Oryctolagus cuniculus: one gene and its partners. The protein of the gene in region 1 interacts with the protein of each later gene in a biochemical or structural test. Links are inferred from orthologs where the notes say so. Each region holds a gene or a part of one and is shown in the gene's direction. Other genes may lie near its edges.

The links.
Region 2: the proteins of WDR5 (region 1) and SETD1A form a complex in vitro, tested with the Homo sapiens proteins (4 studies listed by BioGRID, with this or other methods). The link is inferred for Oryctolagus cuniculus from reciprocal best matches to the Homo sapiens genes WDR5 and SETD1A.
Region 3: the proteins of WDR5 (region 1) and CHD8 form a complex in vitro, tested with the Homo sapiens proteins (2 studies listed by BioGRID). The link is inferred for Oryctolagus cuniculus from reciprocal best matches to the Homo sapiens genes WDR5 and CHD8.
Region 4: the proteins of WDR5 (region 1) and SETD1B interact in a test that uses a peptide from one of them, tested with the Homo sapiens proteins (3 studies listed by BioGRID, with this or other methods). The link is inferred for Oryctolagus cuniculus from reciprocal best matches to the Homo sapiens genes WDR5 and SETD1B.

The regions. Positions count from the first base shown.
Region 1 is NC_091432.1:235,838,774-235,845,391, forward strand, and holds the end of WDR5 (WD repeat-containing protein 5), read left to right. Parts: intron 1-773; coding exon 774-849; intron 850-1,178; coding exon 1,179-1,212; intron 1,213-1,407; coding exon 1,408-1,482; intron 1,483-1,928; coding exon 1,929-2,016; intron 2,017-2,321; coding exon 2,322-2,422; 3' UTR 2,423-3,285; downstream 3,286-6,618.
Region 2 is NC_091450.1:6,180,461-6,188,200, reverse strand, and holds part of SETD1A (histone-lysine N-methyltransferase SETD1A), read left to right. Parts: coding exon 1-159; intron 160-280; coding exon 281-1,057; intron 1,058-1,489; coding exon 1,490-1,666; intron 1,667-1,787; coding exon 1,788-1,875; intron 1,876-2,525; coding exon 2,526-2,683; intron 2,684-2,817; coding exon 2,818-2,905; intron 2,906-4,401; coding exon 4,402-4,743; intron 4,744-7,740. UniProt on the Homo sapiens protein: Histone methyltransferase that catalyzes methyl group transfer from S-adenosyl-L-methionine to the epsilon-amino group of 'Lys-4' of histone H3 (H3K4) via a non-processive mechanism.
Region 3 is NC_091443.1:53,536,552-53,544,291, forward strand, and holds part of CHD8 (chromodomain-helicase-DNA-binding protein 8), read left to right. Parts: coding exon 1-74; intron 75-939; coding exon 940-1,107; intron 1,108-1,640; coding exon 1,641-1,820; intron 1,821-2,905; coding exon 2,906-3,016; intron 3,017-3,329; coding exon 3,330-3,526; intron 3,527-3,788; coding exon 3,789-3,988; intron 3,989-4,069; coding exon 4,070-4,250; intron 4,251-4,335; coding exon 4,336-4,425; intron 4,426-4,688; coding exon 4,689-4,792; intron 4,793-6,572; coding exon 6,573-6,702; intron 6,703-7,115; exon of another isoform or gene 7,116-7,225; intron 7,226-7,740. UniProt on the Homo sapiens protein: ATP-dependent chromatin-remodeling factor, it slides nucleosomes along DNA; nucleosome sliding requires ATP. Acts as a transcription repressor by remodeling chromatin structure and recruiting histone H1 to target genes.
Region 4 is NC_091452.1:7,204,155-7,211,659, reverse strand, and holds the end of SETD1B (histone-lysine N-methyltransferase SETD1B), read left to right. Parts: coding exon 1-65; intron 66-151; coding exon 152-271; intron 272-348; coding exon 349-486; intron 487-2,456; coding exon 2,457-2,630; 3' UTR 2,631-4,718; downstream 4,719-7,505. Other genes in the region: HPD (4-hydroxyphenylpyruvate dioxygenase), read right to left, coding at 7,354-7,505. UniProt on the Homo sapiens protein: Histone methyltransferase that catalyzes methyl group transfer from S-adenosyl-L-methionine to the epsilon-amino group of 'Lys-4' of histone H3 (H3K4) via a non-processive mechanism.

The DNA.
Region 1 (6,618 bases):
ACAGCAAACACAGCAAGTGGGTGCTGGGCCAGGACTTGGACCCAGCGGACGGTTAGCACGGCCCAAGCCGCAGGCACGAGGCAGGGAGGAGAGGCCGGTGGCCTTCGTCTGCTCTCCCAGGCCCGGCGGACGAGCGCTCGACTTCTCTGGGTCGGGCAGTACGGGTCAGAGGCGGCGGGCGCTGGTTCACGGTAGCCGACGTGACCGGCTCGGCTGGCGGCTGCGTGGCCTCACCCCCCACGTCCCTTTGCAGTGTGTGTGAGCAGCCCACAGGAGCGGAGGCCCCGCCGAGCCCCTGGGGGTAACGCTGGGTGCCGGGTCCTCCCTGGTGCTGGGGACACCACGCCACACCGGCGCACACCCCAGGGACCCTGCCAGCCCAGGGGCACCCGGGGCCAGGGAGCGGCTGGCCTGACACTGGCCCGGGGCGCACCTCCCTGTGTCCCCTGGTGAGGAGGCCGGCACAGTCACGTCCTGGACCCTGGCCTTGGTGTTGCCGTGTGTGGGAGCGGTGGCCCCTGTAGCTGCAGTGCCGGCGCCCTGGTGAGGCTCTCGGGCCCAGGTCAGCGCCTGCAGGGCCAGCCTGGGGGTGACGGAGACCTCGGCCTCTGCCAGCGGCACCGCCAGCCTTGTCCCGAGCTGGGGGCGTGCCGGGGCCTGGTGGCAACCCTCACCGCTGGGACGGGCGTGGGCGAGGGCTCCAGGGTGGTGCTGGCCGCACGTGTGTGCCTGGGGGACGGGGTGCCGGGTCAGCCTGCCCGTCTGTGCCGCAGATGACGACAACCCCCCGGTGTCCTTTGTGAAGTTCTCTCCGAACGGCAAATACATCCTGGCCGCCACCCTGGACAAGTGAGTGCTGCTGCGGGCGCCTCCCCGGTGCACCGCGCGCTGCCGCGGGGCGCTTAGTGGCAGCCCCCAGCAGCCGCCGGCCTCCGTGGAGCAGCACCTGGAGCCTCTGGGTGGGCACCTGCCAGGCCAGCCCGGCCCCCTGGTGGCCCCCTGCTCCCCTCCGAGGTCAGGGTTCCTGGGGGGGCAGGGCAGCTGGAGAAGTCCTGTGGATGTTCCCGCACGCAGCGTCCCACGGGGCTGGCGCTGGCTGGGTGGGGCAGGGGTGCGGTGCGCGCCCTCCCGGCTCCGGTGGGGACCGCTGACGCCCCTCACCCATCTATGCCTTGCAGCACGCTGAAGCTCTGGGACTACAGCAAGGGGAAGGTGAGGGGCGGGTCTGGGGGCCGCTGAGCCGGGAGGGGCTGGTCTGGGGCGGCTGGGGGGGGTGTCTGGGGGCGGCTGAGGGGGGTGGTGTCTGGGGTTGGCTGAGCCGGAGGTGGGGGTCTGGGGGGAGGGGCAGGTCCGGGGGCGGCTGAGCCGGTAGGGGCGGGAAGGGCTCAGCCGGCCCCCCCTTTCCAGTGCCTGAAGACCTACACGGGACACAAGAACGAGAAATACTGTATATTTGCCAACTTCTCCGTGACTGGCGGCAAGGTCAGTGCGGCTCGCTGCAGGCTGCCCTGGGCCTCCTGGGTTTGCCCGGCTGGGTGCAGGCGCCAAGCGGGCCCGTGGGCGTGCCCGGGTGCCTCCAGTCTGGCTGAATATGGCCCTGTGGGCAGGGTGGGCTTGGGGCGCCGTCCCTGCCTGGGGGTGGGGCGGGGCGGGCCTGGGGGGCGTGGCCCGAGGACCTCCAGCCTGCCTGAGAGTGGTGGTGTGGGTGGGGCGGGCTGGGGGCGTGGCCCGGGCGCCTGCAGCTTGGCTGCGGGGGCGGGGCTTCTCCGTCTAGTGTCCCGCTCCTAACAGGGCCCGTGCACACGCGTGTGCGCCCACACTGCCAAGTGGCACAGTCGGGAAGTTCTTGCATGCATCCTGAGTGTGGGGGCCGGGGCGGGGCCTCTGCACGCGTGAGCTCTGACCTGCACGCGTGTGCTCCCCTCCAGTGGATCGTGTCCGGCTCGGAGGACAACCTGGTGTACATCTGGAACCTGCAGACGAAAGAGATCGTGCAGAAGCTGCAGGGCCACACAGGTGAGGCGCGGCCCGGCGGAGGCGGGCTTTGTGCAGGTCCCCTCGCGCCCCCGGGGCGCCGCAGACCCCGACCCTTGCCCGGGCCAGGGCCCTGGGACGTCCCGGGCTGCGAGGCGGCCGCGCTCCTCTGGGGTCGGGGGCGGGGTCGGCGTCCCTGCCCGGAGCCTGGGCACGGGCAAGGGGCGAGGCTGGCCCTGGGCCCTGGGCACGCGGGGAGGGGGGCGTGGTGGGCAAGGCCGGCCCCGGGAGCGGGGAGCGGGGCGGGCGGGCCCCCAGCGCGGGCCACAGCGCGTCCTTGCCCGCAGACGTGGTCATCTCCACGGCCTGCCACCCGACCGAGAACATCATCGCCTCGGCGGCGCTGGAGAACGACAAGACCATCAAGCTGTGGAAGAGCGACTGCTAGGGGGCGTGGCCGGGGCGTGGCCACCCGGGGCGGGGCGTGGCCGGGCGTGGCCACCCGGGGCGGGGCGGGGCGCCCCCGCGCGCTGTGCCCGCGCGGCGCCAACAAAGTTCTCGTGTGTCTCGAGGGTGACGTCCAGTTTCGTGAGTTGTGTCTTTGCGTAAACGTGCTGCACCTTTCTTGGTTTTTCGTTGCCCAGCGCCCCTGCTGCGACCACTCCCGCCGCCCCGCTCCGTCCCGCGCTCCGTCCTGGGGCTCCGTCCTGGGGCTCCGTCCTGGGGCTCCGTCCTGGGGCTCCGTCCCGGGCTCCGTCCCCGGGCTCCGTCCCCGGGCTCCGTCCTGGGGCTCCGTCCTGGGGCTCCGTCCCCGGGCTCCGTCCCCGGGCTCCGTCCCCTGGGGCAGCCGCGCCCGGCCTGGGCGTGGGCGGCCTTGAGGGCTCCCTGGGGACGCGGCCGGCGCGGGGCGGGGGCGGGAGTCGAAGGGTCTCCCCGAGGACGCGGGCCCGCGCTGCTCCTGGGCTCCGGTGTCGCAGGGCACCGCCCGGGACCCCTCCCCAGGCCGTGCTGCAGCCCAGGCAGCTCGCGGCTCCTGTGGGTGGGGGCCGCCCAGGGCGGGGCCGCAGAGGCAGTGGGGCCGCCCCCGCTGCCGGGCCTGGGACTGCGCCGGGAGAGGTGGGTGCGGGGGCTGGGCGCAGCGCCGGGGCGTCCCCGGGACCCGGACTCCGGCTCTGGTGGCCGCGGCTCCCTCGGGGGCTGTGAGTGGCCGTGTCCCGGATATAGTTTATTTTTTCTACATTTGAATTCTCTGTTGTAGATTTATGTAAAAATACATTTCTTTTTGAAATTAAAGATTTTCATGTCTTGTAATTTCGTCCTACAAGAATTCTTCTTTCCTTTTTGAGGTTGTTTCCTGGAAGGCAGAGTTAGGCAGACACGGGGGGGGGGGCTTGCACCCAGTGCTCAGGCCCGCGTGGGTCCCCTTGGGGGTGTCGGGGGCAGCAGCCCTGCGGCTTCGTCCTCCGCCTGCCGGCCCGGCCCCGCCGGACGTCCTTGGTGTGCGGAGACCTCGGCTGATGATGGACAGCGGGAGTGGGCGGGCCGAGGTGCGCCCCCGCAGCCGGAGGGACCCCTGCAGGAAGCCGAGCGCCGCGGTGTGGCCACCAGGTTTCGGTTTCTAGAACAATCCGAGGGGCGGAGAGAACCCATGCGCTCTGCTCGCCCCAAGCGCTGGCAGGCCGGAGCCGGAGATGGACATGGGCGCCTGGTCACTGTCCCCGCGGGGCCACAAGCGCCACGTGGCCAGGGCCCGCCCCACTCCGCGCCCGTGTCTCCCGTGTTGCCGGGGAGCCCCCCGCCCCCCGCAGCTGGTGGGCCTGGAAGCGCCCACAATGCAGGGCCCTGAGGGACCCCGTCTGCTGGGGGGCGGACCGAGCAGGGAGCCCCGGGGTCGTGGGGGAGGGTGGCACCCAGACACAGCCGGGGTCCTGGGGCGCGGAGGCCCAGGGCAGGCCGCGGTTCCGCGCCGCTCTGCGGAGCGTGGGCTGGCTCCAGGCCTGGGCACGTGCGTGTCCGTCCACGCTCCTGGCCTTCAACGTGGGTGGTGCTGACGTCAGGCCACGGCCAAACCCCAGGCCCCTAGCAGGCTCCTCCAGGGTCTGCAGCCGAGGTCCTGCGTGGGTGTCGGGGCCCGAGCGGCCCGAGGGCGCCTACTCCGCTCTCCACAGTGGGCCGGGGGACACCTCAGCGCCCCCACCCCTGCTTCCGGGGCCTGCCCCTCCTGTCTCCTGCAGAGACCCCCACCCTGCGGGCGCGGGCCGGCCGCCCCCTCCTCTCTCGGTCCCCTTTCAGGGACCCTGGGACCAGGAAGGGGCCGCGGGGCCGGCGGAGCGGGGTGGGGTCGGCTGTGCCCGTGGCGTGGGCGTGGGCAGTAATAAAAAACAGTGGTTAGATGCCACGAAGTAGGTGGCAATGCCTTAACCGTATGTGTGTTGTAAGGCCCGAGGGCCTCTTCCATCCTTGTCAAGGGGAGTGCTAACCTTCTCTCCTTTCATACAACACGGCTCTCAATCCGTCCACAAAGTATTTAAAGCCCAAAAATCCACTCACTTTACGGCGACGGTGACTTTCACTCAGCCTACACAGCTCATATTTGCGAAGTACTGAGGAAAAGACGAAAAAAAACCGCTGTTCCTCCGGAGACTTTTATTCACTCGAGCGTAATAAGAACAAAACAGACCTGCGTTTGTGTTTTAATATATTCATAAAACTAGCCAATCAGAGGCTGAATGGAACAACCGGAAGTCCCGGGCGTCCTTCCGCGAGGCCGAGTCCCCCGGAAACAAAACAGGGAGGGCGCGCTTCCTGCGGCGACGCGACGCGCCTCGCCGGCGGACGGAAGCGCCCCGCACCCTCGGCGGAAGTGGATGTGGCTGGTTTCGAATCAGAGAACGAAGTTCGGAAGATCCGCCCACGGACTTCCGGACGCGGCTCTGCGCTTGGAACTGTGGGTGCTCGGGGCGTTGGGGCCGCGGGGCGCTCAGGGTCTGCGCATGCTCTGCGCGGTCGTGTGGCTGCGTGGTCGCGCTCCGCGGGCCGAGAGCCCGCGCGGCCTGCGTGGGTCGTGGCGCCCTCGGATCCGGGTGCAGTGTCCGCGCGTGGCCCTTGGGCTCCCCGCGGCGGTGGTGGCGCCCTCGCTGGATGGCGCGTGCGTCCGACGGCCCCGCAGCCCTGAGCGCCGACTGTATACGCGCCGAACGCTGCACCTGCGGGCGCCGAGGCGGGGCCGGGCCGGGGGTCCTGGCTCTGCCCCTGTTCCCTGCCCTGTCACTCACAGCCGGTGGCTGCGGCCAGGAGCCCCCTGCCCTTGGGCCTCCCGGGCTGGGGCTGGGCTCACAGGACCCCCCCCGCCAGGTGCGGACCTGGGGCCTCGCCCACCCCACACTCCGGCCCCCGCAAGATCCTGGTCCCCGGTGGGCTGGGCGCGAGGGGCCCGGGCGCCCTGGAGCCGCTGGCCAGGCTCCCCAGCCGTACGGTGGGTCCGGACCTCTGGGGAGGGGGGCGCAGGGTCCCGCCCCCCCAAGTCAGGCCAGGAACCTGTATCCATGACCCCCTCCCCCGTGCGCTGGCGTCCCAGGGGCCGGGGTCTCCTCGCCCCCGGGGGCCTGGACTTGTGTCCTGACGACCCCCACGCCCAGGGGGTCGGCGTCCGCGGCCGAAGCCCCGCCCACACCTTCGGCCGGGGTCCCGGGCAGAAGCCCCTGGGGGGCCGGGGCGGGGCTGGTGTCTCCCGCACACCTGTACCCCGGGCGCCCCGCCGGCGGCGTCCTCGGGTGGCCAGGGGGCGTCTGGGCTGTCGGAGCCCTGGGCTGGTGTGGGGAGGAGAAGACCCCCGCCCGGGGACCTAGAAGACCCCCGGGGGATCTGGCCTGGGCCCCGTGCGGCCCCGGCGGTGCGCCCTCTGGCGGCCCCTGCTGGACTTGCGCGCACGCCCAGCCCTGGCCTGGCCGTTCCGGTCCCCGGGAGGCACTGGCGGTCCGGGCTGCCCGCCTCGGCCCCGGGACCGCGCTCTGGCCTCCAGGCCCACGCGTCCTCGGAAGCCAGGGTCCAGACCTCTCGTGAGGCTCCTGTTCCAGCCCTGGGGAGTGGCCGGGGACCCGGGCTGGGGCAGCTGGGGGAGTCAGGCTGGCTTGCGCCCCTCGAGGTGGCTTCCCTGCCCAGGAAGCCCCCCGGGCATACGGCCCCGTCCACCTGCTCATCTGTGGCTCCCAGCTCTGGGCGCCAGGAGGAAGCCTCAGCCAGCGGGCAGCGTGGTGGGAGACTGCCCTCCCCTGCCAGGCAGCCCGATTCCTCCCCCGGGTTCCCGAGCATCTGCGGGCTGGGTGGGGGTGGGCACAGGCCTCTTCCGCACGCTAGCCCCGGGGCCTTCCCAGACGGAATCCCGCCCTCTTGGTCTTGGCCCACTTGAGTGACCGCTGAGGCCCAGGGGTCAGCCTGGAGCGCTGATCCTGGATGCCACGCAGGCCAGACCAGGGTGGGTTCCCAGCCCCTGCCTTGCACCTCTTTGGGAAGACACATGCGAGGCACAGACGTCTGGTCAGGCTGCCGGGCCGGGGGCCTGGGGCTCCTCTCCGGGTGGGACCACCAGGGACCCCTCTCGCGGGCACTGTGTCGGGCGATTCCAGCAGTGTCCACCAGGGGGCG
Region 2 (7,740 bases), on another chromosome or scaffold:
GGGCCTGAGCGAGACCCGGGCAGTGAGGTGCCTTCCGGGTCGGGCCACGGGCCCTGCACACCCCCTCCGGCCCCGGCTAACTTTGAGGACGTGGCACCTGCAGGGGCCGGGGACCCTGGGGCTCCCCGGGAGTCTCCCAAGGCCAACGGACAAAACCAGGTGAGACAGACGTCTGGGCTCTGCCGGAAGAGGCGCGTGGGGGCCGGGAGGCAGGGCTGGCCGTGGGGACAGGGACAGGCGGCAGCTCTCTGTGACACCCCCCCCTCCGCCCCCTCCGCAGGCTTCTCCGTGCTCTTCCGGAGAGGACATGGAGATCTCCGATGATGACAGGGGTGGCTCGCCCCCCCCAGCCCCGACACCGCCCCAGCAGCCTCCACCTCCGCCCCCGCCCCCGCCGCCGCCGCCCCCCTACCTGGCGTCCCTTCCCCTTGGTTATCCTCACCAGCCTGCCTACCTCCTCCCGCCCCGGCCTGATGGGCCACCCCCCGAGTACCCCCCGCCCCCGCCTCCCCCGCCCCACATCTATGACTTTGTCAACTCCCTGGAGCTCATGGATCGACTTGGGGCTCAGTGGGGAGGGATGCCCATGTCCTTCCAGATGCAGACCCAGATGCTGACTCGGCTCCACCAGCTGCGGCAGGGCAAGGGGCTGACTGCCGCCTCGGCTGGTCCCCCCGGAGGGGCCTTTGGGGAGGCCTTCCTCCCGTTCCCACCCCACCAAGAGGCAGCCTACGGCTTGCCCTACGCGCTCTATACACAAGGCCAGGAAGGCCGTGGGGCGTACTCACGGGATCCCTACCACCTGCCTTTGCCCATGACAGCCGAGCCCCTGCCCTCCTCGGTCTCGGGAGCAGAGGCCCGGCTGCCTCCCAGGGAGGAAGCCGAGCTGGCGGAGGGCAAGGCCCTGCAGTCGGCGGGCACTGTGGGGCGCGTGCTGGCCACCCTGGTCCAGGAGATGAAGAGCATCATGCAGCGAGATCTCAACCGCAAGATGGTGGAGAATGTGGCCTTCGGGGCCTTCGACCAGTGGTGGGAGAGCAAGGAGGAGAAGGCCAAGGTGAGGGCTGGTTCCTGGGCCCCGGGCCCCGGGCTCCGGGGAGGAGGTAGACTTGAGGCGCCTCCAGCCTATGCCGCACAGAACAAATGAGAGTAGATGAAGGCACGTGCAGAGCGAGGCCTCGGGTCGATTGGGCAGCAGGCGGCCGCAGGCCAGAGGTCGGGAGAGCTCTGTCCCGGCTGCGCTGCTTGCTTGTGGTGGACGAGCCCTTGGGTTTCTCTGGGCGTCAGTCTTGGCTTTTGCCATCTGTGAAGTGGGTGTGAGGTTGGTGAGTCAAGTGAGCAGGCTTCTGAGGACATGCTGTCGCGGTGTGTGACCCATCCCCGTCAGACCGTGGAGCAGGGAGGGCCGTTCCTGTACCCGTGGGGTCTCAGCAGTCCTCGGGCGGGGGGCATGCCTGGGCCCGGGGCTCAGTCCCTCTGCTGCCCACAGCCCTTCCAGAACGCGGCCAAACAGCAAGCCAAGGAGGAGGATAAAGAGAAGACGAAGCTCAAAGAGCCGGGCCTGCTGTCACTCGTGGACTGGGCCAAGAGTGGGGGAGCCACAGGCATTGAGGCCTTCGCCTTCGGCTCGGGGCTGCGCGGGGCCCTGCGGCTGCCTTCGTTCAAGGTACCGGTTCCGTGGTCTCGCTGAGTGGGGTGCAGGGCGAGGGGCCCCCCTCTGGGGAGGGGTGTGGGGGAGCTGTGTCTGTTCGGAGTTCCTGATGGGTCCATTCCTTTCCCCTCCCCAGGTGAAGCGGAAAGAACCATCCGAAATTTCCGAGGCCAGTGAGGAAAAGCGGCCTCGGCCCTCCACTCCGGCTGAGGAGGATGAAGATGGTGAGTGGGCGGGGCTGCTTGGATTCTGCCAGGGAGGCCCGAGGCAGGGGTCCAGCCGAGGGGAGGGCTGGCTCAGGCGTTGGAGCCGCCACGTTGGAGCAGCGTTGGAAGGGCTTCTTGATGGAGTGGAGTGTGCCGTGTCTGGGGTTTTCTGTTCTCAGTTTTTCCACCTGCAGAATAGAAATAGCAGTTTCAGTGCGTCAACTCCCAGAGCGTCAGGGTTAAACATGCCCCCCCCCCCCCAAGTTGCTGTCTGAGGCTCAGGTTCTGCACCTGCCTTCTGGTTGCTAAGCCCGTGCTGCTGGTTGACGGTCTGCGGGGCTGAGGCACTTCCTTGTTGAGTCAGATCTGCTTCCCGGTAGATCCGTTGGCCTTAGCACTTTCTCCTCGGACCAGCCATAGCAAGAGAGCTCCCTCTTCCACCGGGCCCAGACAAGGACAAGAGACAGAGTGGGTGGGACCTGTTGGGGAGTTTAAGATGTTAGGTGACTGAGGTGTTCGTGTTGCTCTATTGCACGTCAGCTTGTCCGCAGAGTGAGGTCAGGAAGCTCAGTGGTGGTGCGTGTGTACCTCTCCTTGCGTAGGGGAGGGAGGGGAAGGGCAGCCCCCGTGGAGGGCAGAGTGCCCTGCTCACCCCTCCCCTGGCCCAGATCCTGAGCGGGAGAAGGAAGCTGGAGAGCCAGGACGTGCGGGGACCAAGCCCCCAAAGCGAGAGGAAGAACGCGGCAAGACCCAGGGCAAGCATCGCAAGTCCTTTGCGCTGGACAGCGAAGGGGAGGAGGCGTCCCAGGAGTCCTCCTCGGAGAAGGTGAGGCCCAGGGCCTCCCAGGCCCTGCCAGAGGCCCATTTGCCGAGTCCTCGTCCTTGTAGCCAGCTTCTCTCTGGCCTGTGCCTCCTGGAGGACAGTTGTCCCCTTCCTGAGTCCCTGTTCTTTCTCGTAAGGATGAGGAGGACGAGGAGGAAGACGAAGAAGACGAAGAGCGAGAGGAAGCTATGGATACCGCTAAGAAGGAGACAGAGGTGTCAGATGGTGAGCGCCGTTGGCTAGGATCTGGCGTGGGGAGGACGGGATTCAGCCACCTGGCCACCCCTTTCCCGGCCCTCACTGCCTTCCTGTGTGGCTCCCGTTCGCCCTCTGAACCCTTGGGCCCTTGGGAACAGACACCCCCGTCCTTGCCGCGCTCCTCTGGTCACCTCTTCCTGAGACACGGCTCTCTGAGGACCGCCCAGCAGAGCCTGTGCCTTTCCCCAGGCCCGAGATAGGGGCCCGGCTCCTCCTGGTGCCCGGATGTGTCCGGCCTGTACCTTCCCGCTCTGCCACTTCCTCCTCCTTCTGGCCCAGCCCCCTCGGCTGCCATCACCAGGCACCTCGGTGGAGCACCTGTGTGTTGCCCCACGTCCCTTGAGGTCTTGGGGACTTGGTTTTAATTCTGCGCTGAGCCCCGCCTGTGTGCCGGTGGCGTTGGAGGTGACGTAGCAGTGACCAGGACAGTGTGCTTCCTGCTGTGGCAGAGCTGGTTGCACAGGAGTAGGCTTGACAAGCAAGTGGGCCCGCCGTGCCCCTTCAGACAGATTTGTGCTTTGAAGAGGATAAACTAGATCGATGCGGTAGAGAGCGCTCGAGTGGGGGCCTGGGAGAGGAGCTGCCTCAGCCGGGCGCGGTGGGTAGAGCGCCGATCCGAGGGCCTCCCTCACCGGTCATTTAGGGGCCCGGCTTTCCTAAGGATGCCGGCTGCAGACCCTACACGTCCACTTGACCACCAGGTCGCAGGCGTTTGAACTTCTGAGTGCTTCTTGATTCGGTTTGCGCTTTCGTCCTGCCCTGTTGCCTTGGACTCGGGCAGCCGTCTTGACTGCCCTGTCTCCGTTTCTACTCTTCCACCTCCTCCCCAGTCCCGTTTCCAAACCGCCTCCAGAGTTCTTGAATTCTCTTACCTGCAGTGTGTGCCTGACCCTGAGGTCTCTCTCTGGGCTCCATCGCTGGCCACGGGGTAGCTTGGCAGCCCGACACCGGGGCTGCGGTAATGCGGCCCCTGCTTCTCTGCTGGGCTGCGTCTCGGCATTCTCCAGTGCCCCCCATGCCCCGCCTCCAGCTTCCGTTCTGATGTGCCCACTTACCTTCCCGAGACTTCTCCAAGCCCTTGCCGTATGTGGCCCGTCTCCCAGAGGCCTCAGGCAGGTCCCGTTTTCCAGGCTCATTTCACCCCGGGTCCTCCTGCAGGGAGCCTGTTATCCACTGTCCCTGACACCCGCTGGGGGCCAGAGCAGACGCCTTGCGCGGCCCCCAGCCTCCGCCCTCTCCCTGCTCCCTGTCCCTGCCTTCGGCATCCTCTCGGATGTCATCCCTCACTTGCTCCTTGAGACACAGCCCGGGGCTTCCCTCCGCCATCGTCCCCATGGCTGTCGCGTTGTCAACTGACCGTTTACGTGCCCAGCATTGCCAGTGAGGGGTCCGGGAATGAACTCACGGCTTGACCCGGTCGAGGGTCTTCTCATCTCGCCTGATTGCCCCTTCTGGATTTCCAGGCGAGGACGAGGAAAGCGATTCGTCCTCCAAATGTTCTCTGTATGCCGACTCAGATGGTGAAAATGGTAGCACGTCGGACTCGGAGAGCAGCAGTTCCTCCAGCTCCTCCTCCACCTCGTCGTCGTCCTCGTCGTCCTCGTCGTCGTCTTCGTCATCTGAGTCCTCTGAGGAAGAGGAAGAGGAAGAGGAGCACCCCCCGACCATCCCCTCAGCCTCGTCGCCTCCCAGAGACGTCCCAGCGCCCCTGCCAGTGCCTGCGGTTGAGCCCGTGCCGGAGGGCGTTGCAGCCTCTGCTGTCACACCTGCCCCCGAGCAGGAGGGGTCCCCAGCGCGGCCTGCAGGTAGGTGCTCCGGGCCGTCGGCCGGGTCTGAACAGGTGCGTGCGAGCCGTGGAAGCCGGGTGTGTCGGCTGTGTGCGTGTCCCTGGGTGTTCGTGGACACGTGACAGAGAAAAAAGTCACTGTCTCTTGTGAGTCCCACTCGGCGACCTCCGTGGCCGCGTGCTCAGGCTGCCCTGCTGTGTGGTCTACAGCGCCAGGCCCCGGGCTTTGGCTACTGAGATAAACCAGAATGGCCCCTTCTCAAGCACATGAGGGAGAAACTTCCTGGTTTGGTAAATACTTCCTACTCGTTTTCATGAAGCCCGTTCCTTTTTTATTTTATTTTATTTTTTTTTTATTTGACAGAGTTAGTGAGGGAAAGAGGCAGAGAGAAAGGTCTCCCTTCCTTCTGTTGGTTCACTCCCCCAAATGGTTGCTATGGCCAGCGCGCTACGCCGATCTGAAGCCAGGAGCCAGGTGCTTCCTCCTGGTCTCCCATGCAGGTGCAGGGCCCAAGCACTTGGGCCATCCTCCACTGCCCTCCCGGGCCACAGCAGAGAGCTTGCCTGGAAGAGGGGCAACCGGGACAGAATCTGGCGCCCCGACCGGGACTAGAACCCAGCGCCCATATGGGATGCCAGCACTGCAGGCGGAGGATTAGCCAAGTGAGCCACGGTGCCGGCCAAGCCCGTTCTTTAACACGTAGTATGTGCAGGCAGTTAGAAGGGCAAATGGGTCTAAAACAAATATTGACCTGTTAACCCAGAACAGTTCTGGCGTTGCCTTCCTGTGTGGATTTGCATATTTAGTTGTTTTATAGCGTGTATGTACAATTATCCTACTGAGTAACCTACTTGTTCAGGCACTAGATTTTTCAAAATTTTTTTTTTAACTTTTTTATTTAAAAGAGACCAAAACGTCTCATCTGCTGGCTTACTCCCTAAATACCCACAGCAGCCAGGGCTGTTTCAGGCTGAAGCCAGGAGCTGTGCGCTCCAATCTGGGTCTCCCGTGTGTGTGCGAGGGACCCAGGTGCTTCCCAGGATGTGCACTGGCAGGAAGCTGGAATCAGAGCAGAGCCAGGACTGGAACCCAGGCATCCCAATGTGCGACGTCCGATGCCTGCCCGGGCACTGGCGAGTTACAAGTACTTGCTGTGGCCAGGCGGTGGCTACTGGGGATACGGCGTTGTGCCCAGCAGGCACTCTTCTTGCTCTCAGGAAGTTTGCAGTCTGTAGGGAGAGATGACCTGGTTGAATAATAAATATAAAAGCAAGGAAGAGCACAGGACACTTGGAATCTGAGTGCTCCTGCGGCCCGGGATGGTCTCCCCGCTGAGACGTAGCCAGGCTGCAGTCCCTGATCAGGCAGGGAAACAGCAGGGTGGAGACCTGGAAGGAAGTGAACCACCTGGAGACCGAGAGCTGCAGGAGCGGGCACAGCTGAAGCAGTGATTGGCAAGGGCGGGGCCCTGAGCCTGTTAGGAGGGTGGTCTTTATGTCGTGGGCAGTGGAAAGCCGATGGAGAAGTGACTTGGTCAGATTTGCGTTTTAAAAAGATGCAGTGCAGAGAAGGCTTGGAGCGGGCCAGAGTGGGCGCAGGGAGACTGTTGGGAGCCCGTCACGGCGGCAAGCGGGCAGTGGGCAGAGCGCACTGGGGCGTTCCCCCAGTGGGAGCCAGCAAGTCAGTTTTCTGGGTGTGCTTCAGAGACGCACGTGGCCTCCCTGGCATCTCTCACTTGAACGTGGCAAGTCTGTGGTCCAAGGTAGGCAGTGGCCACGAGAGGACCTGTGCAGGCCCGGATCTCAGGAGAGGCAGATGGAGCCTCGCATAACTCCACAGGTGGCTCTGCAGCCGCTCCTGCGTCCTTGGGGCACAGGCAGGGCCCAGGCCTCACTCACTCTTCTTAGGCTTTTTTTTTTTTTTTTTTTTTTTTAAGATTTATTTTACTTGAAAGTCACAGTTACACATAGAGATAGAAAGAGAGAGAGAGGTCTTCCATCCGCTGGTTCACTCCCCAGATGGCTGCAATGGCCAGAGCAGCACCAATTTGAAGCCAGGAGCTTCTTCCAGGTCTCCCAGGGGCCCAAGGCCTCGGGCATCTTCTGCTGCCTTCCCAGACCACAGCAGAGAGCTGCACCGGAAGTGGAGCAGCAGGGTCTTGAACCGGTGCCCATACAGGATGCCAGCACTGCAGGTGGCGGCTTTACCTGCTGTGCAACAGTGCCAGCCACTGGTCTTTCACAGTCAGTGGGACAGGAAGGGGGCGGGGCATGGCCAGATCTACATTTCAGAGACCATTCTGGAAGGAGGTAGAGTGACATTAGAAGGTTTAAAGGAATGCAGGTGCGGTCAGGGCATGAGCCAAAGCAAGGGATTGATAATGAGGCGCAGGGGAGTGGAGTGGGGGTGCAGACGGGAGAACTTGGGAGAGGGACAACTTGGTGAGAATACCTACTGGGGCAGGGGACTCGGGAGAGAGAACCAGGATGAGGAAGAAGACAGATGACATTAGTTGGGGTTGACTTTGAGGCACCTCTGGGGCCTCCAGGCGGAAACATGGGCGCTGGCCGGCCGGACCCGAGGCTCTGGGGAGGCTGGGAGTGAGTAGAGATACAGGGGTAGCGACGGTGCGGATGTGAACGCCCCTGCATGCCCAGGATGAGGGAACGAGGCCCGGGCTTGGAAGCCCTGTAAAGAGAGAGGTGAGCGACACATGGGGCACCAGGCAGAGGAGGCTGAAAGGGAGCCATCGGAAGGGCGAGAGGGGCCCGGGGCAGGTGAGCCCCCAACCCCAAGGGAAACTCAAGTCTCATAATCATTTGGTGCAGTGACTAAGACACCACTTGGGGTACCTGCAGCCCGTATCCGGGAGCCCACATTCACATGCCAGCTCCACTTGCAACCCCAGCATCCCACGCGTGACACCTTGGGAGGCAGCAGATGATGGTTCAGCTACTTGGGTTCCTGCCACCCAGGCGGGAGACCCGGATGGAGTTCTGGCGCCCACTTCCGCTT
Region 3 (7,740 bases), on another chromosome or scaffold:
TTGGTATTAATCTTACTGCTGCTGATACATGCATCATTTTTGATTCAGACTGGAATCCACAAAATGACCTCCAGGTAAAGGAAATTATTGTCTTTGGGACTAACTACCTAACTTGGGAAGTTTTCAACAAGACCTGGATCTCTTAGACCTCTCCTACAGAGAGTACAGAATTATTTTCTTAGTTAGGGGTTGCAGTTAATTCAGGGGTCAGCAAACTTTATGAATAGCCAGCTAATAAGTGATGTATCTTTGTGGGCTATATGGACTCTAGCAACCACTTGATTCTACCTCTATAGCAGAAAAGCAGCCATAGACAGTATTTAATGAATAGGTAAGACTGTTCTAGTAGACTTTTATTTATGGAAACAGATCTCCATGCAGACTGTATAATTTGCTGACCCCTCATGTACAAGATGGAATAAAAATTTTATCTTGAAATTGACTTTGGGCCGGCGCCGCGGCTCACTAGGCTAATCCTCCGTCTTGCGGCGCCGGCACACCGGGTTCTAGTCCTGGTCGGGGCGCCGGATTCTGTCCCGGTTGCCCCTCTTCCAGGCCAGCTCTCTGCTGTGGCCCGGGAGTGCAGTGGAGGATGGCCCAGGTGCTTGGGCCCTGCACCCCATGGGAGACCAGGAGAAGCACCTGGCTCCTGCCATCGGATCAGCGCGGTGCGCCGGCCGTGGCGGCCATTGGAGGGTGAACCAATGGCAAAAAAAAAGGAAGACCTTTCTCTCTTCTCTCTGTCTCTCTCTCTCACTGTCCACCCTGCCTGTCAAAAAAAAAAAAAAAAGAAAAAAGAAATTGACTTTGGTTTTAAGTTGATCACATAGCTGTTTTATAAATGTAAAATCATTTTGAATTGGTATTTTGTATTTTTTAACCCTCTAATTTTATCCTGTCTTTCACTGTTTGTTTGTTGTTTTTTTTTTTTTAAACCAGGCCCAAGCACGATGTCATAGAATTGGACAGAGCAAAGCTGTAAAAGTATACCGTCTCATCACTCGTAATTCCTATGAGAGAGAGATGTTTGATAAGGCTAGCCTCAAGTTGGGATTGGATAAGGCTGTACTTCAATCCATGAGTGGTCGGGATGGCAACATTACTGGAGTGAGTTTTCTTAGTCCATAGATAAGTTTATAATGAGTCTTAGTGATAGAGATAATAGATATTTTTTTCTTTACAGGAATCTGAGTACCTTGTTCAGATTCTGAATTCTTTTTTAAGTTTGTTATTTACAAATAATTTTATCAATTATTTCTTATAATGTAATGGCCCAAAGATGAAGGCATGGGGCCTGTTTTGTGGTACAGCGGATAAAAGCCACTGCCTGCTATGCCAGCATCCCATATGGATGCCTGTTTGTGTCCCTGCTGCTCCACTTCTGATCCAACTCTCTGCTATGCCCTGGGAAAAACAGCAGAAGATGGACCAGGTGTTTGGACCCCTGCCACCCATGTGGGAAACCAGGATGAATTTCTGCCAGGCCCAGCAGCCATCTGGGGGTGAACCAGCTGGAAGATATCTTTCTGTCTCTCTGGCTATCTCTGTCTTTCTGTAACTCTGACTTTCAAATAAATAACTTTTTTTAAAAAAGATAATACTATCATGTACTTTTTTCATCTTTCTGTTGGGTTTTGTAGATCCAACAATTCTCCAAGAAGGAAATTGAAGATCTCTTAAGAAAAGGAGCATATGCAGCAATAATGGAAGAAGATGATGAGGGCTCCAAGTTTTGTGAAGAAGACATTGACCAAATCTTGTTAAGACGAACTACAACTATCACCATTGAATCTGAAGGAAAAGGTTCTACCTTTGCCAAGGTATGATCTGTCTGTGCCAGAGAATGGTAAAGCAGGGATAGAAAAAGGAATCTGTAAGATTAAAATATATTTTACAGATATAATTATCGGGGAAAATGTTTGGTGCAGTGGTTAATTTATTTTTTTTAAATATTTATTTATTGCCGGCGCCGCGGCTCACTAGGCTAATCCTCCGCCTAGTGGCGCCAGCACACCGGGTTCTAGTCCCGGTTGGGGCGCCGGATTCTGTCCCGGTTGCCCCTCTTCCAGGCCAGCTCTCTGCAGTGGCCAGGGAGTGCAGTGGAGGATGGCCCAGGTGCTTGGGCCCTGCACCCCATGGGAGACCAGGAAAAGCACCTGGCTCCTGGCTCCTGCCATCGGATCAGTGCGGTGCGCCGGCCGCGGCGGCCATTGGAGGGTGAACCAACGGCAAAGGAAGACCTTTCTCTCTGTCTCTCTCTCTCACTGTCCACTCTGCCTGTCAAAAAATTTAAAAAAATAAAAATAAAAAAAAAATAAATAAAATATTTATTTATTTATTTGACAGAGAGAGGCGAGGCTGGGGGGAGGGGGAGTTCTTCCATCCATTAGTCCATTCCCTAGTAAGCCGCAGCAACCAGAGCTGCTCCAATCTGAAGCCAGGAGCCAGGAGTTTCCTCTGGGTCTCCCACATTGGTGCAGGGACTCAAGGACTTGGGCCATCTTGTACTGCTTTCCCAGGCCATAGCAGAGAGCTGGATCAGAAGTGGAGCAGCCAGGTCTTGAACCAGCTCCCATATGGGATGCCAGCACTGAAGACAGTGGCTTTACCTGCTATACCACAGTGCCAGCCCTAAGGTGCAGTGGCACCTCCCATATCAGATGGCCTGGATTTGTGTCCCAGCTCTGCTTTGGATTAGCTTCCTGCTATTGTGTACCCTGGGAGGCAGCTTGCTATGGCTTGAGCATTTGGTTCCCTGCCACCCATATAGGAGACCTGGATTGAGCTCCTGGCTGTTGTGGGTGTACGGGGAGTGAATCAGCAGATAGGCGATATTTTTTTTCTTCTCTTTCTCTCTCTACCTGCCTTTCAAATAAACAAAACTTTCAATTTTTTTCCTCACTAGGCAAGCTTTGTTGCTTCTGAAAATAGAACAGACATTTCTCTGGATGACCCCAACTTTTGGCAAAAGTGGGCCAAAAAGGCTGACCTAGACATGGATCTGCTGAATAGCAAGGTGAGCTTAAGTCTTCCTTTAGGGAAGAAATACCTCAGAAGACACAAAACTTTTCAGGATTCTTTGTTGCTTTGTTGTTTAGATGGCATATTATACAGAAGGGCTGGTCTGGAAACATTCTAACCCAGGAGGCCTCAGAAAAGTACTTAGAAATCTACCACTTACTTTTGCTTCTTGAAGATTATTTTACATGTCCTTGAAATATCTCTTTGGATATCTGCATATGTTACATACCAGGCTATTTCAAACCTTAATTGTCTTTAATTATTTTCTTATGAGCATATAATGAAGAGAGTTTCTTCTGTCTGCACAGAACAATTTGGTGATTGACACACCTAGAGTACGAAAACAGACCCGCCACTTTAGCACGCTGAAAGATGACGACCTAGTAGAGTTCTCTGATTTGGAAAGTGAGGATGATGAGCGGCCACGCTCCCGAAGACATGACCGGCATCATGCCTATGGGCGCACTGACTGCTTTCGGGTGGAAAAACACCTGCTGGTATATGGGTACGAACTCAGCTTACCATGAGAGGTGCTATATCTCCATCCTGACTGACACCCTGCTTGTCTTTCAAATTGGAGGCTATGACCAAAGAGGGGACAATCAGATTTTTGCTGTGGAGGGAGTTTACTCCTGTTACTCCTTTACTGTGTTGTTCAAGATCTTTTAATCTCTTACCTTTTGGAAGATGTAATTCTTGCAGGTAGGGGAATATTGCTGAATTAGCATTTCCAGAAAAATATTAATATAGTTTTATTTTCTGTTTAGTTGGGGACGATGGCGAGATATTTTGTCTCATGGACGCTTTAAGCGACGTATGACTGAACGAGATGTGGAGACAATTTGCCGGGCCATCCTTGTCTACTGTCTTCTACACTACCGTGGGGATGAAAATATCAAAGGCTTCATTTGGGACTTGATTAGCCCCGCTGAGAATGGCAAAACCAAAGAATTGCAAAATCATTCAGGTAATTACCAACTCTTTACTTTTCATCTTTTTGTCGGTTATCTAGTCCCTTTTCAGATCCAAGGGTTTTTCTCAATCCAAGTCTTTGATGTCTCCCCTTTCCCAGGTCTATCTATCCCTGTGCCCCGTGGACGCAAAGGGAAAAAAGTAAAGTCACAAAGTACTTTTGATATCCATAAGGCAGACTGGATCCGAAAGTATAACCCTGACACTTTGTTCCAAGATGAGAGTTACAAGAAGCACTTGAAACATCAGTGTAACAAGTAAGAACTGAATTTCGTGAAGAAATTTCCCAGCTCAGACTTTGTGCACTGATAATGAGCTATCTTTCTCCTTCCCTTCTCCTAGGGTACTGTTGAGGGTACGAATGCTATACTACCTGAGGCAAGAGGTTATTGGAGACCAAGCAGAGAAGGTGTTAGGGGGTGCCATTGCCAGGTATAGTTTTTCTGTATTTTTCTTTATGTTCTGCCTAATTCCAAGAAAGGTTGATTTGCTTATTTCATTCTGTATTTTCCTTGGGATACCTGTTAGTTTAAATCTCTATACATCAGGTCTTTAATCCTATATTTGACTCTAGTGGTAGGAAATACTGATCATTTGAATTAATGGATTAAGGAAAATAGCTATATTAATCTTTCTGAGAATTATCACTTTAATTTCTGCATTGCTTTGCTGACTCTGCCCTCCTGTATCTTTAGTGAGATTGACATATGGTTCCCGGTAGTGGATCAGCTGGAAGTTCCAACAACATGGTGGGACAGTGAGGCTGATAAATCCCTCCTCATTGGAGTCTTTAAGCATGGTAGGTATCTTCCCCTAGTCTAATTTCTTTCCTATTTAAGATTTATGTCCACAGATGAAACATTTAGCAAAAAAACTCAAGAACAATGAGTCCTCTGACTGATGTTCTATAAATTATGTTTGAATAGGAGCAGAGCAGTTAGATGCTATAAATAAATGTTCAAGAAAGGCCAGATGGATAGTTAAGGCGGGGAGCCTCCCATTGGTTCTATAATCACGATCAACAGTATGATACCCCACTGTATGTTGTGATGCTATGTTGAGGTTCCACAAATCAGGGGAAGTAATATATGCCCATTCCTGTTAGTAATGACCAGACTTAATTTGTATGACTTTCCTGTAGCTTGTTGAAAAGTGTTCTACTTATCTAAGTGGCCCAGTTGTCTAAATGTTCAACATTCAGTCTAATGTAGGTGTGAGCAGCAGTTTTTTTTTGTTTTTGTTTTTGTTTTTTTTTGACAGGCAGAGTGGTCAGTGAGAGAGAGAGAGAGAGAGAGAGAGAAAGGTCTTCCTTTGCCGTTGGTTCACCCTCCAATGGCCGCCGCTGATCCGATGGCAGGAGCCAGGTACTTATCCTGGTCTCCCATGGGGTGCAGGGCCCAAGCACTTGGGCCATCCTCCACTGCACTCCCTGGCCACAGCAGAGAGCTGGCCTGGAAGAGGGGCAATCGGGACAGAATCCGGCGCCGGTGTGCTGGTGCCGCAAGGCGGAGGATTAGCCTAGTGAGCCGCGGCGCCGGCCGAGCAGCAGTTTTTGAGTTAAAACAAAAATAGAGTATAAGATCACAATATACTCAGTTTTGTCTACTAACAAATCGCAGGCACTAAAAGCATTGAGTACTAATTTCCAGCACAGTGAGTTCATGAATGGAAACCTTTTCTTTTTCTAAAAATAGTTTTCTGTTAAATAAAATAAAAGTAATCACACTTAATCTACATATTTGTGAGAAGTTTAATGAGATAAGAAAAACTATGAGCATTTGTAGTCTGAGATTTACTTGTGAAACACAGGTAGAGTCTAGTTATCCTTGAGTGTGTTCATCAAATATTCACTGAATACCTATTTATATAAAAACCTAAGTTTCTTATTCTTCACTTGAGAATGTGTGACCTATCATTAAATTATTTAGCTTTATTTATCCTTCTGTATATTAATGATGAAAGATTACCAGTTATGTGGTTATGTAAATCTATCACCATAATATAAAAATTCTTTGACTAAATACCATTTAAAAATTCCTTTAGTTTATGTATTTTTATTTATTTGAAGGGCAGAGAGAAAGATTTTGCATCTGCTGGTTAATTCCCCTACTGCCCACAATAGCTGGAATTAGGCCAGGCCAAAGCCACGAGCCTGGAACTCAATCCAGGTCTTCCACATGGGTGGCAGAGACCCAAGTAGTTGAACCATCACCTGCTACCTCCCAGGGTATACCTTATTAGCAGGAAGCTGGAATTGGAAGTAGAGCTGGGACTTGTAACAAGGAACTCTGATATAGAATAAGGGCTTTCCAAGCAACATCTTAACTAGTGTGCCAGATGTGTGCCCCTCTTTGATTAAATTCATACCAGCAATCACTAATTTAAAGTCTTCATGATTCTAAATTGCTATAAAATGTCAATTATAATAATACAACCCAACAGCTACCCCCATTAACATTTTACCTATATTTTGGATTAAGAGCAAAGTAACACACATATTCCAATTATTCCAGCATCTACATAAGCATACAGGCAAAATGAATCTGATTTCCTTCTACTTTTGGTTCTTTTTCTTCTAGGCTATGAGAAATACAATACTATGAGGGCAGATCCAGCCTTATGCTTCCTAGAAAAGGCTGGCCGGCCAGATGATAAAGCCATTGCAGCAGAACATCGAGTGTTGGATAATTTCTCTGACATAGTAGAAGGGTAAGCATTGGTGTTTAGTTCTCTTAAAACTTTGAGCTCACTCTATGAAGCTTGACCTAAGAGATAACATAACCACCCTTTCTGAACCCATTGGGATTCAAACTTTTAACAGAGTGGACCAGCGGATATGGCTTGATAAATTAACCTAAAGCACATGACACCCTAAGGTACAACTAAGGGTGAAATGTAATGTTATACCCAAGTGACTCATTGAGTAGTTGTTCTAATGCACTATATAACATTCTTCTGCACAGCCACAGAAGCTGAAACAACAGCTGATTCTCTTGAAAGAGAGGAGTCAGGCAGCTCTCACATGTTGCTTATGTGGTATAGCCTCAGGCAATTTCTGCCCTGGTTTATCATTTTCCAGTGCTGCCTGACACATAAACATATTTATTCCTCCTGGATGCATGCCCCAATGATGAGTTGCCATGCTAATACTGAGCCACCAGGTAGGGCATTATTGCCCTGGTTTGGGTGCCAGTGAGTTTAACAAAACTTCTCACATGAAGACCTGAGGGGCATGTGAAATAGTTGGCTTAGTTAATGAATACCTACCCATGCCTACACAATTTAGAAATTTCTCATTGTTGATCACAATTTCAATTTGCTGTAGGACCCTCAAAGGAAATTGGGTCATTTTTCATTGCAAATCAATTATTACTGCTCATTAGAACATGGTAGTAAAAACAAAAACAAAAAACATGGACCATTCAAATATCATAGTAAAGAGTAAATAGTTGAGAAAGAGGGAGAGGATGGGTTAAACAATAGAAAGAGCTATAGAGAGGAAGTATTCTGATTAAAGTGTTTGATTTCAAATACAAGCAATTATGAGTGTCACTTTGTTGGTTTCTTGTAATTTCTTGTTTTGTTAGATGCTGTACCTAATTGGCCCAAAGCTTAGCACCCGCCCTGCTATTCCTACAATCATGAAATTAAAGACTATTCCATGCTGGATTGTATGTTTGGCCAGGTCTTCATCCTAGGTCCCTCTTAGTGATAAAAGATATATTATTAACATTTGCTTATGCCTCT
Region 4 (7,505 bases), on another chromosome or scaffold:
GCCGCCTGCTGTCCTCCTTCACTGGCAGCTGCGACAGTGACCTGCTCAAGTTCAACCAGCTCAAGGTGAGACGGGGCGCTGCCCGCGGCAGCCGTGGCAGGGCCGGGGGCCTGGGGGGCAGGGCTCACTCTTCCTTACCTGCCTCCCTCAGTTCCGGAAGAAAAAGCTCAAATTCTGCAAGAGCCACATTCACGACTGGGGCCTGTTCGCCATGGAGCCCATCGCGGCCGACGAGATGGTCATCGAGTACGTGGGCCAGAACATCCGCCAGGTAGGTGCGGCCTGGCACGGTGGGCACCTGGGTGGACGCAGGCCGCGGGGCACTGCCTGACGCCCCGTCGCTGGCAGGTGATCGCGGACATGCGGGAGAAGCGCTATGAGGATGAGGGCATCGGCAGCAGCTACATGTTCCGGGTGGACCACGACACCATCATCGACGCCACCAAGTGCGGCAACTTTGCGCGCTTCATTAACCACAGCTGCAATGTGAGTACCGGCCAGGGCCAGCGCTGCCCCCGCCTCTGTGAGGAGGACCCGGGAGCCCCCGGCAGGGGAGCCGGCTTGGCCTCCTTCCCAAGTGCAGGTCATGTTCATGGGGAGGTAGGGATGTGAGGCCCTGTGCGAGGAGCCTTGTTCAACTCCGAGCTTCTGTCTTCTCATCTGTAAAATGGGCACAGTGAGGCTTTTGTTGCTGTGTGAAGCACTAATGGTGCTCAGGAAATGTTGCTTCAGCCGTGGGCTCCCCCCAGTGCCTCCTTGGGCGGGGCTTGGAGAGAGCTCAGGCTCTCGGCACAGCCTCCCCCGGGGACTCCCTGCAGTGGGCTCCATGTCTCTGTGTTGTCCACTGAGGAAGACTGGCCACACATAGGATCGAGCCCTTGAAATGTGGCCAGTACAACTGAGGGACTGAGTCTTGAGTGAATTGAAGCTTAGATTAAATTTTTTTAAAAGATTATTTGACAGAGTTACAGAGAGAGAGAGGGAGAGACAGAGAGGTCTTGCCTCCGCTGGTTCACTCCCCAAATGGGTGCAATGGCCCAAGCTGGGCCGATCCGAAGCCAGGAGCCAAGAGCTTCTTCTGGGTTTCCCACATGGGTGCAGGGCCGTCTCCACTGCCTTCCCAGGCCATTAGCAGGGAGCTGGATTGGAAGAGGAGCAGCCGGGGCACAAACCGGTGCCCATACGGGATGCCAGTGCCGCAGGCAGAGGCTTAGCCTACTACGCCCCAGTGCTGGCCCTGAACCAGGTGGTGCAGGGCTGGAGAGGAGGGGGCGCTGCCCGCGGGATTCCTGTGCTGAGGGAGACCCGGCGCCACAGGCAGCTGGTGCCAGCAGAGGAGCCCTGACTCGGGCCAGGCTTCGGCATCCTTGCTGTAGGACAGTTACCATCACTGCGCCTCAGTTTCCCCATCGGTGAAGCAGAGGCAATGGCAGCCGTCCCGTCAGAGGTTGTGGAGTTCCGCGTGAAGGTCCTTGGTGTGTGCTCACACGGCCAGCCCCGTACGCGTCCTCGCTCTCACAGCTGTGACTTGGTCATTGTGCCTTAGGGACCAGAAGAGACTCTTCCTGGGAGTCTGTGAGATCTGAGAGACAAAGAGTGGGAAGTGGGGCAGGTGTTCTGGTCGGGGAGTGGTATGTTCAAAGGCCTGGGGGCAGGGCTGGAGCAGCTGTTTGAGGGGCAGCATGTGGAGGTGGTGGGTATGAAGTTAGGGGCTGAGAAGACGAGGCAGGCAGGTTGGATGGGGCCAGGGTGCTGACAACATTGGAAGGCTTGGAGCCGTAGGGTGGCTCTCGGGAGAGCTTCCCCTGGCTGCTGGGCTAGGAGTGGGGCTGCTGCCATCCAGGGGAGCAATGATGGGGGCCCCGTAGACGGACTCAAGAGTTCCCTTAGAAGCTCGAACGTCCCAGACACGGTGGGGCTGGAGCTGGCACTGCAGGAGGAGGGGAGGTGGCTGCTCAAGGGCCCAGGCGCCCGGTGTGGCCTCTGGCCCAAGCAGGAGCGGGTCACAAATTCAGGTTCGAGCTTCTTGAGTCAACGCCACCTCCCAGAGCAGCTGAAGGCAGGTGCCAAGCGGGTTCCTGGAGTCATGGGTCTGGGACAGGAGCCACATTGCTCCGGGTCAGAATTTTTGACTTTGTGGCCCAGGTCATGTCTGCAGCAGCTGCCTAACTGCGGCGGGAACAGCGGCAGCCACAGGTGACACGCAGGGAACGGGTGAAAGGGGGTGGCTGTGTGCCAATAAAACTTTGTTCAGAAAATCAGGCAGCTGGGGGCATGGCTGGTAGCACCCTTGTCTCAAGCTCAGAAGAGAGGGCCTGGCTGGCAATACAAATTGCAGAGTCACCTGCAGTAGGAAGGGAAAGGGGGACCCTGTGGCCGGAAGTCAGGCCCCGAGCAGAGGTGCGGTTGGGTCGGGGGGGGCTGGGGCTCACCCTCCTCCTCCTCTCCTGCCGCAGCCCAACTGCTACGCCAAGGTGATCACGGTGGAGTCGCAGAAGAAGATCGTCATCTACTCGAAGCAACACATCAGCGTCAACGAGGAGATCACCTACGATTACAAGTTCCCTATCGAGGACGTCAAGATCCCCTGCCTGTGCGGCTCTGAGAACTGCAGGGGGACCCTCAACTAGCCCCGCCCGGCGCCCACATGTCGGCCGGGGCCGGCCCCAGCTCCCGCCTCATTTCAGGTGCTGTCCCTCTCCCCCTGTGGCCCCGCCAGGGCCCGGCGCCCCAACACTACCCCAGGACACCCCCCGCAGCTCCAGCCTCTCCGCGGGAAAGGGCTTCTCTGTCCGTCAGCCCACGTCTCTTCGTTTCCAGAATTGCTCCTCTGAGGATCGTCCTTGGCCATGAACTTCTGTCTCTGTGTCTGACTCCCACACCCAGTCCCTCCTCTCCGGCTTTCTCCATCTTTTTTCTGTCTGTACCCTCGGCTCCTTCCCGTGAATGCTGCTACGTTGTTTTTGTCTTCTCTTTATTTTCGTCCTCGTCGTAAGAAAAGACATTTTAACCGTTGAAATGTGAAGGCAGAATCAGAGCGGGGCCTCGGTTCCACGACTGAGGTGCTGGCCAGGTGCTGCGGGCAGGGGCCGCCAGCGGCTGTGACCTCAGAACACTACGTACCTGCCAGGCCCCCTCTGCCCGCCACGCAGCGAGGAGCCCCCCAGCCTTCTCCACCCACTCCCCAGTCTCTTCCCCGAGCTGCTGGAGGAGCCATCCAGTCCCAGGCAGGAGTGCGCCGTGGGCTCCCTGCTCCCCACCCCCCAACCTTGGGTTCAATGTTTACTTTTTCATTCGGATGCCAGCAGCGAGGGAGCCCCCGGGGACCCCAGACTGGGTGTGGGGGCTGGGAGGGGCTGGTGAGCTGCCCGTGCCCGCCCCACCACTGCAGCGTGGCGCGTTCGCGTGGAGAAGCTCCACGCCCCCCGCCCAGCGTCGACCCTGCCAGGCCAAAGCATATTTATTTGCTGAGTGAGCAGCTTATTCCTCCCAGAGAAAGCAGAATCTTGGAGAGAAGATTTGAAAACTCAGATCCAAGTCTTTGACAGTTTTTTCCCTTTTGACCCCTTCCATCCTCTTCAGGGTTTATATCCATGGATTTTTGTTTCTTATGCGTGTGTAAAATCCAGACGAAGGGGGACACGATGGGTTTGGCAGTTCAGCAGCAGCCCCTGTACATAGACTGCCGCGAAGGACTCCGGGGCACGTTGTTTCTTGTGGAAACAGATGGGGGGCTTAGGCCTCACTGCTTCGTACTTCCGGGAAAAACCACGACAGGCGCACGAGCGCGAGCCCCCCCGGCCCCGGCGAGCAGCGCAGGCGTGTACATAGTCTCTGGAACGTGACTGGTGACCGGCGGCTCCAGGACGAGAGGCCCCGCGGCGCGGCTCCCACCCGTGGACAGACGCGAGGCCTCTGCTATCTCAGCTTGTGTCAAGCTTGTATCATGTAAATTCTGTACAAAGAATTGTTATTTTTCTCTCTTTTTTTTTGTCGTTGGTGGTTTTGTTTTTTTGTTTTTGTTTTTTTTTCCAGTTCACCCCAGACCCTCTCGGGTTGGAGACCGAGCCCGCCGGTTTCAAGGCGAGGAAGTCGGTGGCATTAGGATGCGACAGGGTGTGGGGTCCCTGGGCACCACGGCAACCTTCTCTTCCACGTGCGGTTCTTTGCCTTGTTGTGCAACTGAGGAAATATTTATTTTTCACACAAGGAAATGTGTAGTTGGCAGAGACTTCATTCTCACCCCTCCCCTCCCCCCAGGAAAGAAAGAAGTGGGGGGAGGTGAGGAAACCAGGGGAGGGGCTGGCCTCGCCCCACCACACTGGGGCCACTGTTAACTTCCCCAAGGGCCAGGGGCTGGGCCCCCTCCCCGGAACCCCGCCCCTACCCTGGAATGGTTTGCAATAATCTAGAAGAGTGTTGGCTCATTTTTCTTTCAACTCCTTTGTTTGCATTGAACAAATCTCTGCTTTTGAAGGTTAGGGGTTTCTGCTGTGCCCCCCGCTCTCTGCGAAGAAGAGAAGAGATGAAATCTAGGGGTGTTCGTGTGTACACTCTGTCACCTGTATGTAACTTGTTTTGAAGAGAAGTGTTTCCGTTGTGGGTGTGTGTTGCTGTAAATATTTGTTCATATTTTTGTGAATTCAATACTATGTACCATTGTATTATAGTAACTTTTATAAAGCAAACCATAAATACACTGACTTTTCTTACAGATACGCCATCTCTCTCGCTCTCCTCTCTCTGCCTGTCCTCCTCGTTCTCTCTCTCTGCGGGGAGCACTCCCCGGCCAGGCTCTGCGCAGCAGTGTGTGGCGTGGTCCACTGGGTGGGTTCTGTGAAGTGGGCCACATCACGGTCAGACGGCCTTCCATAGCCTAAAACTTTAAGGTGTCACCGCCTGCCCTTGAGATCCGATCAAGCATTCTGTGGCCATCATCAGAAGAACCCACAAAGAGTGTGTGCTCAAAACACCTGACACCCACAGGGCCAGGGTGACAGGTCCTGTGCCTGTGGCACTCCAGAGGTGCTGGGCGGAGAGGGCAGGGGCACTGTCCAGGGAGTCTCAGAAGGAGACTCCAAGACTGCAGACAGCACCCGGACTGGGAAGACCCCGCGCCTCCCTTCTCACTAAAGAGATGCCAATGACAGAGGGACACCATTTCCCCATCAAGGCGGCAAATGCGAGTTTGGAAATAGCCAGTGTTGGCCGGGCCGGCAGACAGGGCGTGCCATTAGCAGGAGCCCACTTTGCTGCGGGCTGCGGGAGCCCTGCGATGGGGACCATGGGGACAGAAGATGCTCATACCCTTGGCCCAAATATTCTGTCAAGAACCAAGCCTGACGGACACAGGACTGTCGCAGCGTGCTCTGGCGATGGTGACGTGAAGCCGGGGTGCGCTTCACTGGGGTGGGCTGGCGGGAGGGAAGGGAGATCTCCCCTAACTCACTCATTTGCCCAGTACCACCCAAGCACCCACCGTGTGCCAGTCTCGCAGGCCCTGGGGAAGCATCCTGAGCTGAATGGCTTGAAGAATGGAGGTGGGAAGAAGAGAGAGCTAAGAGAAGGGGTGTCCATTGTGGGGGCAGGTGTGGGGGGTCGGCTGCAGTGGTGGGGAAGAGGCCGTCCAGGAGAGGGAACAGGGAGGGCAAAGGCCTGCAGGCAGGAGCCCACCTCAAGTATTAGAAACAGCCGGATGGCAGGTGTGGCTGCCGCCGACCAAGGGCGAAAGGTGCTGAGTGAGCGCTTGGGTGAGGCCGGCAATGGAGGCCTCGCAGGGCAGCACGAGGGGGCCACACCCACACATTCCATCTTCTCCCTGGAACTTGGCTCCTGACGGATCTTCCATCTCTGTCAGTGGCATCTCTGCCTCCCACCTCCACCCACCACTCCCTGCTGCCACCTAAACTCAAGACCCCCAGCGACCCTGGACTCCTGCCCCCCACCCCATCCTGCCAAACCTGATGGTGCCTCCTTGTTGCCCCGCCTCTCCCTCTCCCCCTGCCCTTCTCTTCATTGGTTCTGCCAAGGAGGGGAGCACAGGGGGAGCGCCGATTGGAGATAGATGCGTTCCCGGCAGCCTCTCTGTGCCAGCCGCTATTTTAAACATCCGACCCTCGAGCCATAAGAGAGGGATAGTCCCATTGCACAGATGCAGAAACAGGCACAGAGAGGTCAAGACGCTTGCCCAAGTTCACACAGCAAGCAGCTGATCTGGGGTGTGAACCTGTCCTCAGCTAACGGGGACCTCCCCCCAGGCCCCACCTGCACAGGCCTCCCACTCAGCATCCAGCATTTGAGGCTAACTAGAGGCCTGATCGTGCCAAGAACCAGAATCCTAGACTTGCATTTGAAACAGCTCAGCTTGCCGAAAAGTCGGCTCAAATGTGTTTGAAGAAGCCTCGCAGGCAAGCGAACCATCGTCTGCGAGCCGGTTCTGGCCCAGCAGCCCCCCATCTGCAACCTCAGGGCAACAGAATTCCCCTGCTTTGCACCAGCTGTGCAGAAGCGAGGGTGCTTTTGCCCGAAGCTGGGGCCTGATCCTCTGGGATCTCTCGGGTGTTCTTTTCGTTTTTGAAGTTTCTGATCCCTGAAGATCCAATTTCTTCTACCATCTGAAAAAAAATAGGATAAATTCCCCATTTCCCCCTAGGACACCCACCCACGTGGTTTCCTTGCACTGCGATCCCAGTGGACTCCCGGGAGCACAGGGAGAGGCCAGGAACGCACCTCCTCCTCCCCTGCCTGCTTTTAGAGGAAAGTCCCCGAGCTCCAAGGGCTGGGGACCAGAGGCGGCAGACGGGGGTCGGACCCCCGCACCCGCGCGCCCTGCACCCGGGTGGTCGCGGGGCAAGGCTTGCGCCCCCAGCTCCTCGGCTCCCGCTCGCTCAGCGGTCTGCGCGCCGCCGCATGGCACATCTGGGGACAGGCCGCCTGCCCAGACCACGAAGCCCAGCTCCGTCGCCGCTCCCGGCTCTTGCACCTGCCCCTCTGCCCCCGGATTTCCCGCGGCGGGCTCCCCGGTGCCACCCCTCAGGGGTGCCTCTTTTCGCTCGAGAGGAGCCCCTCCCCTCTCCACCGCCACGTGATCCCGGCACCGGCTTTATAGCACTCGCCTCTCCACGAAACCGCGACGGAAGCCCAGCCCTCCCTAGCTCCGGAACGCCCCCGGCATCCGCGCGCCGGCCCATTGCGGCTGCGCGTCCCGACCCCGCGCGCGGGCGCCGCCGCTCCAGACTCCCCCTGGCGGCGAAGAGGAGCTACTGCGCCTCAGCATCCACACGCCGGTTGGACTGGGGCGAGCTTTACTCAGGAGGACACGTGGTCACGAGGTGGGCGTGGCTCGGGGTGTGGCTAGTGGGGACTGACGCGCCGGGCCCGGGAGGGGAGCGTGTTCCGAGGCGGGGGCGTGGCCGCGCGCCGGCGAGTGGGCGGAGCCTCTGTAGGTCGGCGGGAGTGGGCGGGGCCTACATGCCGGGCACCACCCCGTTGGTCTCCATGTCGGT